4 linked regions of the Rattus norvegicus genome follow. The protein of the gene in region 1 interacts with the protein of each later gene in a pairwise test. Links are inferred from orthologs where the notes say so. Each region holds a gene or a part of one and is shown on either strand. Other genes may lie near its edges.

What was found.
Region 2: the proteins of Kifc3 (region 1) and Psmb1 interact in binary tests that used the Homo sapiens proteins (3 or more experiments, as listed by UniProt). The two-hybrid records come from large-scale screens. The link is inferred for Rattus norvegicus from reciprocal best matches to the Homo sapiens genes KIFC3 and PSMB1.
Region 3: the proteins of Kifc3 (region 1) and Stx11 interact in binary tests that used the Homo sapiens proteins (3 or more experiments, as listed by UniProt). The link is inferred for Rattus norvegicus from reciprocal best matches to the Homo sapiens genes KIFC3 and STX11.
Region 4: the proteins of Kifc3 (region 1) and Airim interact in binary tests that used the Homo sapiens proteins (3 or more experiments, as listed by UniProt). The two-hybrid records come from large-scale screens. The link is inferred for Rattus norvegicus from reciprocal best matches to the Homo sapiens genes KIFC3 and AIRIM.

Annotation. Positions count from the first base shown.
Region 1 is NC_086037.1:9,901,716-9,909,597, reverse strand, and holds part of Kifc3 (kinesin-like protein KIFC3), read right to left. Parts: intron 4,228-7,882; coding exon 4,089-4,227; intron 1,945-4,088; exon of another isoform or gene 1,453-1,944; coding exon 1,271-1,452; intron 1-1,270. UniProt on the Homo sapiens protein: Minus-end microtubule-dependent motor protein. Involved in apically targeted transport. Required for zonula adherens maintenance.
Region 2 is NC_086019.1:65,132,744-65,136,747, forward strand, and holds the start of Psmb1 (proteasome subunit beta type-1), read right to left. Parts: upstream 2,801-4,004; 5' UTR 2,563-2,800; intron 2,178-2,562; 5' UTR 2,010-2,177; coding exon 1,900-2,009; intron 93-1,899; exon of another isoform or gene 74-92; intron 1-73. UniProt on the Homo sapiens protein: Non-catalytic component of the 20S core proteasome complex involved in the proteolytic degradation of most intracellular proteins. This complex plays numerous essential roles within the cell by associating with different regulatory particles.
Region 3 is NC_086019.1:9,137,420-9,141,716, reverse strand, and holds the start of Stx11 (syntaxin-11), read left to right. Parts: upstream 1-1,497; 5' UTR 1,498-1,566; exon of another isoform or gene 1,567-1,689; intron 1,690-4,297. UniProt on the Homo sapiens protein: SNARE that acts to regulate protein transport between late endosomes and the trans-Golgi network.
Region 4 is NC_086023.1:142,482,177-142,486,186, reverse strand, and holds the start of Airim (ribosome biogenesis protein C1orf109 homolog), read right to left. Parts: upstream 2,801-4,010; 5' UTR 2,455-2,800; exon of another isoform or gene 2,369-2,454; intron 1,233-2,368; 5' UTR 1,230-1,232; coding exon 955-1,229; intron 1-954. Other genes in the region: Cdca8 (borealin), read left to right, coding at 3,116-3,209, 3,315-3,443. UniProt on the Homo sapiens protein: Part of the 55LCC heterohexameric ATPase complex which is chromatin-associated and promotes replisome proteostasis to maintain replication fork progression and genome stability.

The DNA of each region.
Region 1 (7,882 bases):
GGTAGGTCTCTAGGAGTCTGAAAGCTTGAGGCTAGCCTGGTCTACACAGGGAGTTCCAGGACAACCAGAGCCACACGGTGAGGTCCTGTCTTTTAAAAAATGAAGGGGGAAAAAAAAAGCAAGGAAAAGAGAGCCACGTCTCAACATTAAATAAACAAGAACAAAGAACGAAGCCCTACACTATTCTGTAATCCCAATTCTGGGCATACACACCAAAGAACTGAAAGCAGGAACTTCGGTGTTGGTAGCAGTATTACTCACCGTGCCCAGAAGGTGGCTACTATCGACTGTGACGTTCATGGTGACAGCAAGATAGACAGGTCTAGTTAGTGAGTTCCAAGACACACTAGGCTAGATCGGGGAGCTTATCTCAGAAAAACCAACAGCCGACAAACAAAACAACAAAACCCACAGTGAGGTCCAGCGACAGCCCCCTACAGGACACCACACTTTATAGTTCATAACCATCTTCCTGTCCACTCTTACAGCCAGCCCATCTGATAGTCATCAGCCTGGTTAGAAATCAGAAAATGGGGCTCACAGGACTGACAACATTCCCTACAGCCTCACAGCCAAGACAGCCTCAGACAGCTATTTCCAGAGTTCCAGAGCCACATCTGCCCCGACAGGTGCTAGCACATCTGGATCCTGTTATCTGTCTGCAGATGAGGAAAAGAGGCGCAGACTGGTAGTTATCTAGCCCAGGACTAGTAAGTGCTCCCAGACAGTCAGGGTTTACTCACAGCTCCAGGCCCAGGAGGCTGGCCATGTCTCCACAGGGTTGGACCCTACAGAGCACAGCTAATGGGTACAGAGCTACAGGGATCATCCCTTAAGAACACTGTAATAAACACATAGTCAAAAAGCTCACCAAAAAACCCCAAGCAGAGGCTAGGTACCGGTTTGAATCCGTAAGTCATCTGAGGCCTGAGGCGTCAGGTAGGTTGGGCGTCCTCCTTACAGGTGATGAGCGAGTGGGGCTAGGGAGACCAGAGAGTCTGGGCAGTTCACTTTCAACTCCCCCCCTTAATAAGCAAGTAGATTTAATCAATTAGAGAGGAAAACCTTTTGGCTGGGAAGATACTGAGGTGCTAAAGGCCCTTGTTGCAGTAAGAAGCCAAGTTTGAACCTCCTCGCCCTGCAGCATCTTCCTAGACCAGGAAAGGGTCACCATCTGGCTTCTGGTGGAGTCTAGGTACCCTGACAATGTCCTCTGACCTGCTCCAGAGGGCAGTGAGTGGCCTCTGCTCATCCCTGCCTCCCCAGGTACCTGGTTCTGCAGCTGGGTGGTTGTGGCTTGCCGGTCACTGTCATGGAGGGCCAGCCTCTCCCGAAGGACTACCAGCTCCTCCTGAAGCTGGGACATGGCCTCCACGGTCCTATGTACCACGGGGTCTGGGCCTGGTGACCCGGACAGGCTTGAGCACCTCCCGATGCCAAGGAGCCGCCCACCTACAAGCAAAGTAGTGGCTGATCAGCAGGACAGTGGAGGTCTGCCTGGAGGAGGAAGGCAGCCATCACAACAAGCGCACCATTGGGGCTAGGGTGAGGACTGAAGAATACAGCAAAATGGGTTTGCAGAGGACCTCCGGGTTGTCCTCTGGGGAAGTCACTTTAGCAAAAGTTTCTAGAGGACAGAACTGACTAAACCAAGACTTAAGAAAATAATTTTTCCTGAGTCCCCTCAAAGTAGGAAATTTGGCCTGCACTCAGGCGATTTCCTGGGAAAGAATAGAGGCTTACTCAGAAGTGGCTCTCCATGCTCATTCTCGATCTCTCAAAAGCACAGCAGAGGGCTGGAGAGATGGCTCAGTGGTTAAGAGCACCCGACTGCTCTTCCAGAGGTCCTGAGTTCAATTCCCAGCAACCACATGGTGGCTCACAACCATCTGTAAAGAGATCCAATGCCCTCTTCTGGTGTATCTGAAGACAGCTACAGTGTACTTATATATAATAAAATGAATAAATCTTTAAAAAAAAAAAAAAAAGCACAGCAGAGAGGACCAGGCTTTGTCTGCCAGCTGTTCTGTGGGACGTGGTCCCTGTGAGTGTGGAGGAGGGGTAAGGGGATGTGTGCAAGCAACAGATCAGGGCACAGATGGGCCAGCACGTGGAACAGACAAGGAGTTAAGCACATTCTCAGGATGGTGCCTGTATGCAGGCACAAGAGAAAGACAAATACCAAGTCAGGCGAGGCCTCAGCCCGACTCCTCCCCCAACACCTTTTACTGTTCTGTCATCGAGATGAGAGACAGGCTGTGATGTGTAATGGGGCTGTGGTGCTTGTTCCAAAGCTCTGAAGAGGAGAACAGCCTGGCCTGTGTAATGCAGAACCAATAGCGGTCCAGGAGGACAAGAAAAGAATTTGCCTCCTCCCCTCAGCATCCCAAGTCGGGGCCCTGCAAAGATTCTGGGCATGCAGAAGTCCAGTGCTAGCTGGTGAGCCTTCTACTTCAATGCTGCCTTAGCTTCTGGCTTCCTCAGAGATGAGGGGCCTCCCTGTGTCTCACCCCCACCACTAGCAAGCCTTGACCACAGTTCTGCAAAGCCCCAGGGCAGTATAGGGAAATGGGAGGGAGCAGCTGAAGCTAGGCTCCCATGGGTGGGGCTGGTGTCCTCTCCCCCCACCCCCGAGATCTGGGGCTGGACAACCCGTGCTAGGCAAGTGGCCCCAGCTGTGTGGCCCTGCATGTGACACAGCATGAAAGTCACACAGTGCAGGTCCAGCCTCTGTGATCTATTCTAGAGGGAGTAAGGGCAGCCCGATGCTTCTAGGCCAGCACACGGGGCTGCCACGGGTGACATGTGACCAGTAAGGCCACAGACTGCATCGGTGCGCGACCGAATGTGCTGGGCTGAGAGCTGGTCTTGCCTCTTGAATCACATGGGAGGGACCCTGCAGGCTCTTCCTGTGTGAAACAGGGACAATGCACCTAGCCCAAAAGCAGCCATGGGAAAATAGCTGGAGTCCCATTGGAAACACAGGTATGAGTGTCATCCATGACACCGCTCCTGTCCTGGGAGGCTCTGAGCCCCAGACCACAGCATGGTACCCTGTGTAAGAGGGCCAGGAGTTGAGTGGAAGCTGCAGAGTCATGGGTAGTGGAAGAGACACTCTTGAAGAAGCTAAGGGAGGACTGAGCTAAGGGAAGAAGGGAGGAGAGGTGAGGCCCAAGGGTGCTTGAGCAGGACAAGCCCCTGCTGAGGAAGCTACCACCTGACAGGTCAGTTTCTAGAGGCATGGACCACGACAGGGCCCAGAGCTCAGGTGCTATGCCTGAGCTAGGAGGACCTAGCCTTCCTTCCTCTGGGCTTACCCCACCTAGCTGGCCAGATGGTAGCCATTTTGAAAACCTGACTGCCCATTGCTTACACACCCTATGCCTGCCCTGAATCTAGATGGACCAGGGCTTGTACACAACAGGCACTGGTTCAGATTCAGAGGAGGGAGGGACCTCCTCCAGCAACCCCAGCAAGTTCAGACACACAGACTCTGAGAAAACAGCACCTCTCCCCAGTACTCCTGGCCTTGCCCCGAGGCTCCCTAAGATGTTCTCTCCCTGTGTTCACTGGCCAGTACTTTCTGCTGAAAACCCAGAAGACAGCAAAGGAACCTGGAGAACCTTTGAAAACCAGTTAGTTCTAGGTGCCCTAGTGGTCAGGGGATAATGGAACTGCAGGCTTAGTTTTCTCTGCCTGGAGGGAGGGAAACGAGTCCCTGACCTCTGGATCCTCTGACCGGAACAGAGCCAGGCCTTTGCTGAAGGAACTGGTGGCGTCTGCGAGGCTGCTCCTGGGCCCTGCTTTAGGTAGGTACTGGGAAAAGACAAAAAGAAGGGAAATCCAACCCAACCTCCACTGGCCAAAGTCTTATCACTGGGTGGGGCCCTGGTGGCCCTGGGACAAGGGGCAGGACAAGAAAGAGGACAGACACATGGCTGTCCATGGATCTGGACGAGGCTGGTCGGAGTCTCAGGTTCATGTCAGGTGGCCAGCCTGGCTGAGCCACTTCCAGCTGTGGGACAGAGTTCTCCCTCCTGCACTCGCTCAGCCAGAGCGTGTCAGACAGTGGGGCTGACCTCCTTTACCTGGTTTTTCTACATTCATGGTACCACCAGCTTCTGGGGCCTCCCGGTCCCGCCTGGGGGCCGGCGCCTGCCTCTTCGGGAGTCTGTCTTCTTTCGTCCCCTGACTCTTGCTCTCGCACCCCTTGTCCTGCAGGGCCTGCTGCCAAGACACAACCAGAATCCTCTCGTGAAGGGACTGCACTGAGGAGAGACCCTTGCCCTGGGGTTGTGAGCACTCTGGTCCCAGGGCCCAAGCACTGTCTTCACCAAGGAGGTGTGGACAAAGAGTCTTGCCTGGAAACCGGAGAAGTCAGACTAACATCCTACAGAAAGATGACAGTAATTTATTCTTGGGTGCCACCACAGTCAGTCTCCACACCGGTAAAAGGGGTTCTAAGAACCTACGTCCCCTAGATAAAGTCTGTGCTATCCCTTCAGGCTCCAGGGGGCAGCAACATGTGAGCAGCATTCTCCTAACGAGCCTTAATGCAGGTGGCTGTCTTGTCCTGCCTACACACGGCAGTCTTAGGGCCACTCCCCCATAGTGTCATAGTGTCGCCTGCTGTGACACCTTGGTAGACAGCTTCCCACCTAAGGATGGCACTCCCAGAACCAGGAGGCTACACACGAGTCCATCTGACCAGGAGAACGGCCACTCTGCTTCTTGCATGCTGTGTCCCATGGGGCTATCCAGGGGCAATGCGACCCCATGTCCTGGTCAAGGGACTGAGGCAAAGGTGGCTGGGCTGGGGCAGGTGAGTGGAGGGGTAAAGTGGGGCACTTCATTTGGAGAAAGACGCCAAGCAAGGGTCCAGACGGTGTGGGGAACGTGAACCCATTTAAGGGTAATAATACACAAGACAGATGAAAGGTGAACTGGGAGCTCACAGGCAGCGGGGTCTGTGTGTGCGCTTGGTGTGGGGCTGTGCGCACACAGAGACCCACGGACACGGAAACAAGAGCAACTTAAACCTGGGGGATCGAGATAAACGTCACAGCCGCAGAGGAGGATCTGATCAGGAAGGGCTCCAGGTCGTTCTGGACCCATCTGAGGCTCGACTGTTTTACCTTAAAGACACGGCTTTGCTGTGCTTGTGTTCACAGGGCATCTGGGAAAATGCCTTTCTGTCTCAAGCCAAGTGTCAATCTTGTTCTATTTTATTTACAGGGCCTCATGCTGTAGCCCTGACTGGTCTGGAAGCTGCAGAGATCTGTCTGCCTCTGCCTTGTCACCACTGGAACTAAAGGCTTGTGACAACATCCCAGGGCCAGGCGCCACACCTTTTCTTTAATGCTTGGTACAGGGAGGGTAAAGCACAGAGACAGCATGTCATCTGTGTGCTGTGTGGCTGTAGACAAACTCTGCTCCCTCTCTGAAGCTGTTTCCCTCCCTTCTCAGTCTAATCAATCTCTGCCCTCTAGTGCCAGTGGGCAAACCAAAGGCAACACCAAGCAAGGCATGCTTCAAGTGCCTTAAAGAGGCACGGATAGCTACCATCAGTTTATACTTTCTCTGACCTACACTCTAACTTTGAGCATCAAAAGGCCAATCAAAAGAATTGCAAGGGCTGGAGGGATGGCTCAGTGGTTAAGAGCACTGACTGCTCTTCCAGAGGTCCTGAGTTCAATTCCCAGCACCCACATGATGGCTCACAACCATCTGTAATGGGATCCGATGACCTCTTCTGGTGTGACTGAAGGCAGTGACAGAGTACTCACATAGATAAAGTAAATCTTTTAGAAAAAGAATCGCAAGAGTGAAAATCGGCCCAGCAGGTGCCTAGTCAGCCACATCCTCAGCCTCTTCCTCCCTCCATCTCTTGTATTTAGGACATTTCTCCTCAGCTTAATTCTGTCCCCGCCCTTCAACCAACTGCTACACTATCTCCTGCAGGCTGGGGGAGGTCGGGGTGGCAGGGATGGCGACAGTTGGAAGTTTCCATTTGCCTTCAGGCAGGAGCAAAGGTTACTATTTCTGGGCTGCTGGCTGAAGCACAGAAAGGGGGCTGGGAATTTCTGCAGCGTCCTGGAGGTACCACTCGGTCTTTAGTGGCTGGAACAAGGCTGGACTGACTGAGTCTGTGACCTACAGGTCCTGCCCCTGTGCTTGGAGCACACTTCGGCACACGTCCGTCCGTACCCATAAGGCAGAGCTCTGCAGGGCCGGAAGGACATGAACTTGGAAGCTGGTCACTAACGGCTTCTGAATGGAGCGTCAGTAGAACTGCTGAGCCCAGGCCTCCGTAGCAGCCACAGCCCAATACCCCATAATCAAAGCTCAAGAACAGGGCCACCACCCATCTGAGCTGCAGCTCATGACCACAGCCTCCCGATTTAACTTCCCTCTGGTTTCCTTAACTGTTGTCTTACCAGACCCACTCTCCTGGAAGACTTCACTAAAGAAACAAGTATGGTCAGTTCAGTCCTCAGAAGAATCTCACAAGAACCAAGAGACATGTTGAAACATAGGCTGTCCCTTAAACACCATCATCCCTGGGGTCCTGCCGAGAGCAGCAGCCCTGGACTGTATCCATCTGCTGGAAAGAGGATGGCTCAAAGGTGTGCGTTTCCCCCAGCACCCATCCTGCTAACCACCGGCACTTGCCTTTACTCCTGGCTCTTGGAAAAGGCAGGATGTGTGTGAGTGTGTGTGTGTGTGTGTGTGTGTGTGTGTGTGAATCAGAAGCTGGTTTATTCCTAAACCCACAGCACGTGGGAACAGGAGTATCCTGGCTCTTGGAAAAGGCAGGATGAGTGTGTGTGTGTGTGTGTGTGTGTGTGTGTGTGTGTGTGTGTGTGTGTATCAGAAGCTGGTTTATTCCTAAACCCACAGCACGTGGGAACAGGAGTATCTGGTGTGAGCTCCACATCACCTAGACTACAGAGGGAGTCCCTGTCTCAAAAATATAAAGAAGACTAGAGGATCATGAGTCCCGTCTCTTAGGGGAATCTGGACAACACCCCCAGATAACCCAGGAACTTCATGCTCCCAAGTTGTGTGCCTGGTGCTCTCCTGTTTGTAGTCACGCCTGCGAGGTCACTGGTGACTCTCTGGAGCCTCTACTGGGCTACTGCCCCGTATGTCCCTTCTCAGCATCCATGCCCAGTCTAAGGATGCAGTGGCACAAAGCGGCCAACAGCAAACATCGTTCAGCAAACACACATATTAAATACTAATACGGGAGGCTGAAGAGACCACTCAGCAGTTGAGAGCACTGGTTGCCCTTCCGGGGGGACCCAGGTCCAATTCCCAGGACCCAGATGGTGGCTTGTGACCGTAACTCTCGTCTGAGCCGATCTGATGCCCTCTTCTGTCCTCTATAGGCAGCAGACATACCCGCAGTGCCCAGACATATGCAAATACCCATACAGGTAAAAATAAATCTTTTAAAAGATACACTAATGCAGGCACTGGAGAGATGGCGCTCAGCGGATCACTTATCAGCGGATTAGAGCACTTGCTGCCTTGGTACCCGGGTCCAGTTCCCAGTACCCACGCTGGAATTCATGTTGGTAACTAGTTCTACACACGCATCAGAAGATTCGCTGACAGTCTGTAGAGAACCTCGGATCATTTCCCAGCATCCACGTGGTATCTACAAGGATCTGATTCCTTCTTCTGGCGTCCTCAGGCAGCAGGCACCAGGTATACACATGTGCGTATACATATACGTGGGCAAGCATCCATGCACGCCCAACTAATGCACATGCCTTTAATCCCAGCACTTAGGAGACCGAGCTGGCAGAGCTCTGTGTCTGAGGCCAGATGGGGCTAAATAGTGAGCTCCTAAACTAACAAACTAATGTGGGCCGGC
Region 2 (4,004 bases), on another chromosome or scaffold:
GTAAAATACAGTGGGACTGCACTATGTGATAACTAAGTACCTGGGCACTGAAATTACTCATGCCACTTATTACCTGTGTGACTTTTAAATCTTCATGTTCAAACTGATGGTAATCACGGTATTGTTGTGTTACACAGGGTGTGAGAATTAAACACACAAGTTACATAGAGTACCTAACATATTTCCTTCTTGGAAATAAACATCCAGAAAACATTACCTACTATTTTTACTGAGGCAAGTTTTGTACTAAAATTCCAAAGCAAAAAAGAATGGCATTCCAAATACCTATGAACAGCAACAGAAGGAAAAAAGAAGTATCACCACAGGCCACTCAGGCAACTTAATTAAGGTGGTCATTTTTGTGTAACCAGAGACATAATCCTCATGTGATGGACTGTGCCAAGCTAGAGTTTAGAATTTTAGCAAGGAGTCCTGAAGGTCACAAAGAACAAGAATGAGAATGCTCCATTTGCAAAGTGAGGTTTTAGGACAATTCTGACAATAGTACAGCATGTGAAATGGGACATAAATACTGCTCCAATACAAGTGGTGAAACAGAAGGGAGAAAGGATGACAGAGGAAGAAGGACAAATTCAAATACAATACCACTGTGTGCAACCAAGGTTTTACTACTCCCTAAATGTGCTTAGTGAGGAAAACAACATACCCCACCCCTTTAAACTGACCCAAGCAGGGTGATGACATACATCATCACAAGGGGTCCGTTCAAGGAAGGAGTAGCAGTAACTACCTCGCTTATTTTGTTTACTAACTTGAGTTATGTTGAGAACTGAAAATGCAGTTAGAAATGGTTTTACAACGAGGCCAGAACTGAGGGGACTTTTGAGAAATAAAGTTACAGAAACAGACTTGGGAATTATGTTCCCAGGGATGAGGCAAGTAAAGGTCTAAAGTAACAAAACCTGGAAGCTACAAAGAGAAATTAATATACTGTAGAATCAGAAGCTGCATGAAGGGCTAGTTGCAATAAATGCTAAAAGGTATGAAAGAGAAAGGAGAAAGGTTATTTATCAGGCAGGTTTAAGTAACTATGAACAAAGTGACAGGTAAGAACTGAGAGTTAAAAAGTGAATCGTGAGTACTGCATTTGAAACACCTGGAAATTATTATATTAACACACCTTACGATGTAAGTACTTAGTGTTCACGTGCAGAGTTAAGCAACTGGAAAAGCAAACCGAAACTGGACAAGGCTGAGAACGCTATGAACTGAAAACCAGTTCTAATTCACACCAGCTCTATGACCTGGGCTGTTTAAAATGCCAAGAGCCAAGAACTAAGAGTATAAAATATTCACTTAACTGCTTGAAATTTACAAAAAAAGAGTAACCACTTTGAGTCTTCCTCAACCTATAAAGTAGCTCAAATAACTGAAAGGACCATCCCTTCGAATAAAACGGATGATTAAAATGCACAAGTAATTTGAGAGTAAAAATAAACACACACAAAGGGTCCGACTGTCTAAGGCTGGGGATGCAGCTCAGTAGAACTTGCCCAGCAGATTACGTCTCTCAAGAGTAGAACCACCTTAACTTTTCATCCCTGGAATTAGGTCTGGCTAATTATATTATTTTCCTTTTAATATAATAAATGATCAGACGACTCAGCGATAATAAACAGCTACTCGTCTAACAATCAAGACAATTCATAACTTCATGTTCACGCGCTGGCTTTAGAAACGTGTTTAAGCCCTACCAAACGATAGCCCATAGAGCTAAGAGTTAAAGTGGGACCCGCCCTGCTGAAGCAAACGGCACCAAGGGCGTTCATGCACAACTCTGGAGTGCCGGGCAGCAGGCTACATCTCCGCCATTCCCACACCCGCCCGCAGCGACCCCAGGACTCAACCAAGATGAGCGCAGCACACCCAGGATTTTACCCTCCGTTGAAGGCATAAGGCGAGAAACGCATCTGCACAGGGCCGGCGGAGCCCTGAGGCCCCATTACCAGCTCTCGGTCCGGGTCCCGGTAAGCGGCAGTGGAAAGCATCGCGCCTAACTCCTGCTGTCTCACGGCAAAATGGCCGCTGGGACCGGTCCACTTCCGCCTCCCTCGCCCCGCCCCTTGGGCTCCTCTAGCCTGTACTCGTCGCTGCTCTTGGAGGTCCACGCCTGCATCCAACTACCGCACAACCTGGATCTGCCGATTCCGAGAGACCTGTTTTATAATCCCAAGAAAACATTTGGATTTACTCATGGCGGATAGAAAATTAAAAGTCCGACTATACCAACAAATTAACCCAATTACAGAGTAACGACAACTCGGATGTCACATTGGTGAAGTGGCATAGCGTTTGGGAAGGGTTAGTGGTTCCTGCTGCATTCAAGGCCTGAGAATCGGGATGCGTAGTCAACTGTGTGGTGTATGCAGCCATGAGACCCAGGAAGCAATACTAGGTTTCCAGTCAGAATCTGATGGTTAATATTGTTAACTTCACAGAATTTAGCATCACCTAGGTAAAACCCATGGGCATGTCTATGCGGGTGTTTCAAGAAGGTTTAATAGAAGAGGAAAGACCCAACCAAAATATAAGCAGTACCACCTCATTGCCTGGATTTCCGGACTAAATAAAGAAGCGAACTAATATTTATCTAATTTATGCTTCCGATTTGTGGATGCAGTCCAGGTGTCATGCTCTCCCCTGGATTGTAGCCCCTCAAGCACTAAGCCAAAATAAATCTGCTTCCCATAAATTGTCTCTTGTCAGGCCTTTGTTAAGTTTTCTTAATTCCCCAGTCTTCTGTGGTTTCCTGTACTTCCAAGAGAAAATGTTTCCTTTAGGAGAAAATAGATACACAATACTATTGTACTTATTAGAGTCTATGCATATGGCAACCTATTCAACAGCTATACACAACACACAGATTCTCTTCTCTCTCTCTCTCTCTCTCTCTCTCTCTCTCTCTCTCTCTCTCTTTCTCTTTCTCTCTATCACACACACACACACACACACACACACACACACACACCGGGGGGGGGGGGAGTAAGCACAACAACACATGTATATGCCTAGGTGAACCATGGAAGGAAAAAATTAAGGTATGTTGGAATCAAATCAAGCATTAAGAACCAGTCTAAGAAACAGCTGACGTTTTCTTGTGACAGCAAGGACGAGAGCTGGTAGTAGCAGAGTTAAAATAGAAATGAGTCTGTGACTACAAAGCCGCTTGTTTTGCTGTTCCTCTTTGGACGCAAGTTGACATTTACTGAGAACATAATAAGAAGCGTCTGCTTGCCATTCACGTTATCCATCTCACAAATCTCTAAGAGGCAACTACTACTATCATTCAACTCTACAGAGCAAAGTGGAGGACCCAGTGAGCTTGCCAAGCGATCTCTTGAGTTCAAGACCAGCCTGTTCTACAAGAGTGAGTCCCAAGACAGCCAGAGCGACAAGGAGAAACTCTCAAAAAAACAAAAACAACACGTGGAAGATCGAGGATGTATACAGTTCAGTGGTAGAACGCTTGCTTGAGCCTGATCCCCATAGCCACATCCCCAATACTGTTCCCGCTACACACTCTACATCTCTCTTTGACAGCTAGAAAGGGCGGTCAGAGGCCTGGTCCCGAAAATGCTGGGACACCAACCCAACCCCTTTCTTTCACGAGTGTCTCACAGTTTAAGCACAACAAGCCGGGCTCCAGTCGAGAGCGCAACTGGCGGAAGTGACGGCATCAGATGTGCGTCAGGCGTTCGGTGGGGTCGAGTCCGGTAGCGGTGGCGGGTATCTGCTGGCGGTTTGGCTAGGTTTCTGCGGTCGCGTCATTTTCTCCGCAGTGCCCAGGTAACGGTTCTTTCATCCTTTTCTCTGCTTGGAGGCCTTAACAAAAGCGACTTCTGCAGCGGGTCCCTGGAGTTTGCCGGAGGAGACGCGGAATGGGCGCGCGGCCGGGCGGGGAACGGTCCTCCGCGCGGGCTGCGGCGGCTCCGGGAGTACCAGTCTCTGGACCACCGCCTCGGCGGGGTCATGAAATCCAGTGC
Region 3 (4,297 bases), on another chromosome or scaffold:
CTGATGCCTCTCCTTATTTTCTATTCTAGGTTCCCCTTCTATCAAGATCCGACATTAACAGGATGGAGTCATTCTGGCTGAGAAACCAGCCTCCTCCCTCCATCTTTAGTTAAGTGTTTTGTTTCCATTTTCAGAGATTCCTTTCCTTTTATTTTATGTGTGGGAATGTTTTGCCTCCATCTACCGTGTACATATCATGTGTGCGACCGGCACCCACAGAGGTTAGGAGAGGCACCATGTTGGTGCTGTGAATCGCACTCAGGTCCTCCGCAAGAACATCAAGTTCTGAGCCGTCTCCCACCGATTTGTTTTTGTTTAATTCCGAAACCCACCTCCCAGCCTTCTCAGCATCTTCCGTGGCCGGTTAAGATTCTTTTCTCGTAGGATCTTTCAACAGCTGTGAGTAGGATTGGTCAGGCATTTTCGTGGGGTGGGGGTGGGAGTGGGGGTGTGCAAGTGGATTTGTGGTTGTTGAACCAGGGGCAAGCTCCGCTCACTGTCACAACATCATTTATCTGTGTGGTAAAAACTACTTTCCTCCTCCTTTCTGTACAGCCCTATGTAGAGGAGCAGGCTCTCTATATTGAGTGCAGAGAGACAAGTTTCTTTTCCAAGAAAGTGGGTTTCTGCTTCGGTTGCTTGAAGTTGCTCTGCTCCGGAGACTTGTGGACCTATTTCATCGGCCATCTGTTCACGTTAGATGAATAACTTTGTGTTACCATCCAGTGCCACCTCGTTCCTCAAATTCTTCCGGCTTTAGGCACCCGGAGCTCTTTGGGTGACTTCCTAGCATCAATGCACACATCATTTTTCTGTTTTAGATGGTTAGCCTTCGCCGTGTTTGTCCAGAGGCTTCCCATCCGCTCACCCGAAAGCCCCTTTTCTCTTTCCGAGTCTCTAGTAGGGTGTCAGGCTACGAGGACGAGGTCGTGGCAGTACCCGTGGATGCCCCACTGACAGCAGGCGGGAAGGGACTAGTGGAAGGCGGGGCTCAGTGTCTTCAAGATCCACAACCTCCGGTTCAACCATCGCGCGGGTCTCTGCAGGCGCAGCCACACCCACGCTCAGAAACGGTTTCTAGCGTCCTAGCCTCGGAAATGCTCTGGACTGCAAATGTCATTCATGCCGAGGGGTTTTCCCTTGGAAAGTCCGACGAATCCCGCTCCGCCCATCTCTCCATCCCAGAGCACCGAAGAAGACAGAGGAAGTTTCCCGGGTGGTCCACACGGTCGCCCGCAGCATCTCGGGGCGCACAGCAGTGGAGGGAGGCTCGTGTCTAGGTTCTCAGCCACCCGCACCGTGGCGACTCTCGTCCGTGAGGACGAGAAACTGCGCGCCCAGCCCAGGGCGTCCCCGGGGCGGGGCCTGGTCCCCCAGCTGTGCAGGCTCAGCGCGGTGGGGGCGGAGCCAGCAGCGCCAGATGCGGCCGGGGTGGCGCAGAGCTCGGACCCGGCTGAGAAGCGCAGCCCTGGCCATCAAGAAGCAGAAGAGGCAGAGCCTCCGGGACGCGAGCATTGCGTGTCCTCCCGGCGTCCGGACGCTGGATCAGCGCCCCGCCGGATCACGGTTCGTTTCGTCACGGGAGTGTGCTTTGGTTCTCAAACTCTTTGGGCATCGGGGACCCGGGTGCGGGGCTGGCTGGAGTGGCGGACCTCACTGGCCCAGGGCAGGGATGCTGCCCAGCAGCAGGTGGGTTTGGGGTGTGGTTCCCTCTGCGCCTCTAGGTACCTTCAGGACGCGGCTTTGGGTTTCACTCCTAGAGCCAAAAGCTTTTTAAGTCTTTGAGAATCTAAGGCTTTATCAGAAGTGCTTCAGAAATGACTGGTGTAGTCAGTTTTATTGTTTTATTGAATGGAGGTGCTTCTTTTCCGTTTGGTTGCCACTTTCTCAAGCACATCAGAATGGGCACTTCTCCACTTGAACTTGACAGTATGACTCAGGAGCCAGGAAATATGGGAACATTGATAAGGCGTTGAAACAGCCCGCACAGAAGATTTGGGGGAGTTTGTTTTAGGGGGGAGCGATCTGGTGGCTTTGCTTAAAGAACCACACTACGGAATTCTTTTGGCTTCTTTGGCCGAGACCAGCTGAGACCTGCGTTTTACTTCCTGTGGCTCTCTCACACTTAGTAGAGCATTTCTCAGCAGAGGGAGGAGCTGTTGTTTCTACACGGGTATCCACAAATGAGTCAGAAGGCGACTATAATTGCAAGGCTTTGTTAATACGCTTTTGAAAAGCGAGGTTGGATCCCTGTACTTAGAATAAGAACGGAGATGAGTCTGGTGCTGTCAAACTGGGGCAGGCGGCCTAGGAAGTAGCTATTCAAGTTTTCAGTTTCCTAGAGCGTCTGATGGGACAACATGCCAGCTAGGGTCACTAGGCCGATCTGAGATAACCCTTAAAATCATGTGCTTTCCCACAGAAGCTGAAGAGAAAATTAATTCCATTATCCAATAACCATTTGTTTTCACTGGTTGGTAGAAACTGGGCATTTAGTGGAGTGATTGTAAGTTACTCCGAAATTTAAAATATTTCAGAAAGTTTATTTTTTTTACCAAGTTAGTACTTTAAAAAATATAGAGAGAAGCTTTTGAAGAAAGTAGATGGTTGCTAGAGCCAGACATTAATATGCTCTTAGAAACAGACTTCCCTATCTAGAAGCTAAGCAGAGGCAAGAATAACTGTGTATCTTGGCTGAGCTGAGGTCAGCCCTAGACAGCAGTTACAAGGTTCTGGTCTGTTCTTTTCCTCAAGTTCCATGTGTACAATCCCAGGCACAGTGCTATCCTGACAGCCAGAGCCACAGCTGAGCTGATTTTCCTGGAAATCCAACATTGTGAGATGGGTGCTATTGTGTTTTATAAAAAAGAAAAAGAAGTCAGGGATATGTTTAGTAGAGGTGTGGGGGAAGGGGGTGCCTCTGTGGGTCCATGCTGAGGCATCCCTTTCCCCTGAGGGACCATCCATACATGGTATAGTATAAGAGTATAGAATAGAGTTTATTTAGGGCATGGGGAGGGGAGTGGACGGGGTAGAAGAAACAGAGAAAGGAGAGAGAGAGAGAGAGAGACAGAGACAGAGACAGAGACAGAGACAGAGACAGAGACAGAGAGACAGAGAGAAACAGAGACAGAGAGAGACACAGAGAGAGACAGAGACAGAGACAGAGAGAGAGGAAGGAGGAGGAGGAGGAAGAGAAGGAGGAAGAATAGAGAGTAGAGGCAGGCTTTGATCAGGTATAGAGGCGGGTAGAGGAGAATGGGGAGAAAAGGGACAAAGAGCAAAAGAGTGAGGAGGGGGCAAGCAGCCCCTTTTATACTGAGTCAGGTATATTTGGCTGTTGCCAGGTAACTGTGGGGCAGAGCCTAGAAGAAATGCCAGCAGGTGCTGTGAGAAATTTACACCCAAAGGAGGCGCCCCAGTGTGGAGGATCAGAATATCCTGGATCACTCTTGGGACAGCAAAGGAAAGTCTGGGTTCCCATCATCTGCTTGTCTTGGTTGGCAGCCAGGTTTTCACTCAATACATACATGATTTGAAAAGCATATTTGTATGTGCATATGTGTATGATTTAAAGAACATACTAGTGAGGCGTGGCGTTTAAAGTGTTTGAATTAACCGTGTTTTGTATTGCTCGGTAGCTGTGTGAAAGCAAACCCAGTCTGTTATCATCCCTGGGCACTTATGGGCACTTTCCTGTGTCTTTTAAACAACAGGGAGTGACTTACGAGCCATTGGTGGCTTTCTGCTCATCGGTTGTTCCTTATCTGAGGACTGGCTTCACTTCCTTGATTTTTATTACCCGAGCTCTGAAACGTGAAATAGAAAGTTCCAGCAATAATAGTATGCATCTATTTATTTTACTTGAGACGTGGTCTCACCGCGTAGCCCTGGCTGACCTAGAATCCACAGCTATCTCTCTGCCCGCTTCTGCCTCCTGAGAACTCGTATTAAAGGTGTGTGCCACCACACTTGGCAGTGAGATGATGCTCTGAGAGAGGGAATACATCCACACCAAATTAATTAGAACCATATCGTTGTAATTGCTCCACTATTAATTCTTGTTCATCTCTTACTGTGCATAATTTATGAATTTAAACTTTATCTTAAATACGCATGCACGGAGAACAGCAGAAATAGGTGTCAGGCGTTCACCACAGTCTCTTGGCTCAGATCCCTGAGGGTTAATTTCCCAGTCCTCTGAGGTGGCCAACTAGTAAAAGGCTCCATTACCACATCTTTCACCTCTGTCTCATCGCTCCCTCCGCAGCCTCAGAGCCACATCTTCTAGAGGAAA
Region 4 (4,010 bases), on another chromosome or scaffold:
AATTCACTGTCACCAGAGAGAGAAATATGATGGTGTATATAAGGTGCCTTTAGCAGTGCCTACATATCATTCTAATGCTGACGCAAAGGGACTCATCACTAAAACAAAGACTGCAACTTCCCAATGGACAAGGAATCTCCCAGCCCAGAACTCTAGCTCTAAAGATCCGGCTGTGTCTTACAGTGTAAAAACAGGAAACAACCCAAAACCAGCAAGTCTGTAAGTCCTGCTTATACACTGTGACTTAACAAACAGAAAACAGAGTATCAGTAACGCCTGAGTTGTTACTGTTTTGTGGACTGGTTACACATGTATCCACTTGTGTGTAGAAGGAGGTGGTGGTGAGGAGCCCAGCTTAAGTGGCAGGCACACTTCAGAATCCCGGCTCTAATTCTCACTGGCTCTGTGATCAGGACAATCAGTTTATTTTCTGTCTTCTTGCTTCCAAATGCATAAGCAGGGTTAAGCCAGGGGTGTACAAGGTCCTGTACATACAGTCTTTAATCCTGGCTCTCACTGACTCTACAGAATACCAAGGAAGACTCTTCTTCCTCTCCTCTTCTTTTCTGCTTTTGTCATTTCTTCAGTTATGTAATTGGTTTGGGGTTATTTTTATTTGTTTGTTTACTTACTTATTTTATTTTGAGACTGGGTCTGTCAGTGTAGCCTTGATTGTCTTGGAACTCTCTACGTAGACCAGGCTGGCCTTGAACTCAGAGATCTGCCTGCCTCTGCCTCCTTAGTACTGAGATTAAACACTTGGCCTGGTTTGGGTTTTTTTAAAACAACCTACTCCAGGCTGGCCTCGAACTTACAGACATTCAATCTTAGCCCCCTGCATGATTACTCCTGACTTGCTTCTGTCAACTTTTGTAGGCCCACCATGACTGAGGCTGAGATGCCCTACAGCCTTAAGATCTGTCCATCAACAAAGGGGGACACAGAGCATCTTACAGCCTCTCAGTTAGCTTGTCCAGGACAATGTCACCAGCCTCTAGTTGCTTGCGCCTCAATCGCTCCTGCAGGTCTGGAAAGGGACGAAGGGCTAGCACATCCTCAAACCGCAGACTTTGTGCAGCTTGCAGCTGCTCAGCCAGATTGCTGAGAGAGGAGAGGAGGGGCAAGCAGTCCTGCAGAGTGCTCTGCCACAGGTCCTGCTGTTCCTCCACCACGGGGAAGCACTTCTTCAGGGCCTCCTGCACAACCAGCAGCGGCTGGTCATGAGCCATCTTCTGGGTAGAAAAACAAAACAAAACAAAACAAAAGAGAGTCAGGGTACCAAAAAGGGAGAGCCTACATCAAGGGTGAGTCATTTTTGACCTCATGAGAAGACCAGATTTGGTTTTCAAATAGTCCCAAGGCAATATTGAAAGGTAGGGAGACTCTAGGTGACACAGAAAAGAACTCTTCGTCCTGGAAGCAGGTTGACACTTTCGACCAACAATGAAGTAAGAATTTCAGCAGCATACTTACCAACTGCTTAAGGCCTTCCTTCCTTCCATGTTCTAGAAATCTCACCAGAAATCCCATTTACAGAGAAAGGTCACACACTACTCCATTTACAACCAACTGCTTAAGGCCTTCCTTCCTTCCATGTTCTAGAAATCTCACCAGAAATCCAATTTACAGAGAAAGGTCACACACTGCTCCATTTACAACCATAGGAGCTCCTGATTTCACTTTATTGGATTGTAATACCATCAGAGAATATTGGAAGCCCTCTCACTTACTTCTCTTCTCAAACAACTTTTTGTTTGAAGAGAATAACAAGGGTTCTTTAGAAACCCTTTTGAGATGTAACCTGAAAGCTACCAAAATAAGTATACACGGCTAATGTAATATGACTTTAATCCCAGCACTCTGGAGGCAAAGCCAGGTGATCTCTGGGTTTGAAGCAAGCCTGGTCTACAGTCCCAGGATGGCCAGGGCTACAGAGAAACCCTGTCTCAAGAAACTGGGGGGCGGGGGATGGTGTCAACTGTTGATCTCCCTGGAGAAGACCAGACCCACATGACTATGTCTAACTTTCTGAGATTGTTTGAGCAGCCTTCAAGTGTATTCTATTTTATGCCTAAGTGCTTCTCTCTTAATCCCTGTGCTTAAGCCTGTATTAAAAGCTTTAGGCTGGGAGTTGACGAATGTACCTTTAATCCTAGCACATGGAAGACTGAAACAGGCAGATCTCTGTAAGTTCGAGGCTAACTTAGTCTACACAGAGACTGCCAGGCTAGCCTGAGTTAAATGGTGAGCCCCCGTATCAAATGTGTGCATGTAACTCTGCTTCATAGACTGGCTAGTGCTGAGTTCTTTCCAGCCTCAGAGCCATCAACTGAGCTGAAGTCCCTAAAAGGTTAGGGGAACTCCTCACCTTGCTGAAGTAGGCAGAGTGAAGCTGTGCTCCTCTGTCTTGTCACCGCTGACACTCAAGAATAAAGATTGCGGCGGTCCTCTTACCAGTTCTCTGCAGAAGGACTGCAGGTCTTCCGAAGGGGTTTCTAAACGACAGTGCAATCTACTTTAGATTGCGAAGCCCTGGGGTCTGTCTATCCCCGGACCAGTGCTTCTGGAGTCTTGTCTCCTCTCTTTAAGATTTCCAGCCCTGTTCCTAAATCAACAGGAAAACGTAAATCCTGGGTTGTCAACACTGAGTACATCAAAAACTACACGGGGCTTGGCACTGTCTGCTCATTCACAAGACCGAACTCACCACTCCAGTTCTAGTTAGCACGACTCTGGAGTCGCGAAAAGATGGCGTATGCCTCAATGACTTCTGGGCATTGTAGTTCTCCATAAGGATTGGCTGACGGAGGGAGAAGAAGCTTTGTTGTGATTGGACTTTGTGAGAACCGTCCTAAGACGACGATTTGCTATTGGCTAGGCTGTGCCCGTTGAGTTTGAATTGGGTGGCGGTTAGTGGAAGATCAACCCGTCCCTCAGCTGGAGCTGTAAGGTTTCCTGAGTCTGTTTTGGGACCCCCAGGTTTGTTTCCGCAGAGTTCAGGATACCTAGACTCCAACGACTGAACTTCCGCTGCTCCCCGACCACTCACGCCCTCTTTCCCGGTCTCATTCGCTAACCCGGCAGCTCGGCCCCTCGCTGGACGCACCCTGGTGTCATGGCTCCTAAGAAACGCAGCAGCCGCGGGACCAGGACCAACACACTGCGGAGCCGGAAGCTCGCCTCCTTCCTAAAGGACTTCGACCGCGAGGGTAAGGGGTGGATTCGCGTGATCGTGAGTTTTGGGTGGGTTGGGGCGCGGGTGCGACGGCTTCGCACACCTGACGCGGGATCCATCGGCTTTCACCTCTTTGCAGTGCAAGTTCGAACCAAGCAAATTGAGTCCGACAGGCAGACCCTCCTCAAGGAGGTGGAAAATCTCTACAACATCGAGGTCCTTCGGCTCCCCAAGGCGCTGCAAGTCATGAAGTGGCTTGACTACTTTGGTAAGAGCTGCTAGCGTTTCCCCCGTGGCCGATTAGTGCTTATCTTGAAAACTTTCTATAGGGACTCATTCAGATGTCTTAATAAGGTCTTAAATAGCCACCGGTGGGAAATTGCCATCTGTCATAACTTATAAAAAAAAAAGTGATAGACCCATTGGAAAGAAGCGGGCATGAATTACCCTTCAGATGAGTGTTATTAGGATAGTGCTTCACACTTTCACTGCTCAGTGGGAGGAGAGCTTTAGAAGGTATATACCAGAGATAGATGAGGGGGGGGGAGGGGGGGGCTGAAGGAAGAGGGAGGGAGGGAGAGGGAGGGAGGGAGGGAGGAGGAGGAGGAGAAGGAGGAGGAGGAGGAGGAAGAGGAAGAGAGAAAAGATCAAATCCATAGTACAAAGTGAGCTTCTGATTCTTGAAGGCTTTCAGAGGTTGGGGAAGGCCGTTCCACACTGACCTGACCTAGCCTAAGCTAGCCTAGGCAAGGATGCAGGCACTTGGTAGGACTATAAAAGTTTTCCTGCCGATTTACAGAGGAGGGAGAGAAATGCAAGACCAGGATACATCATG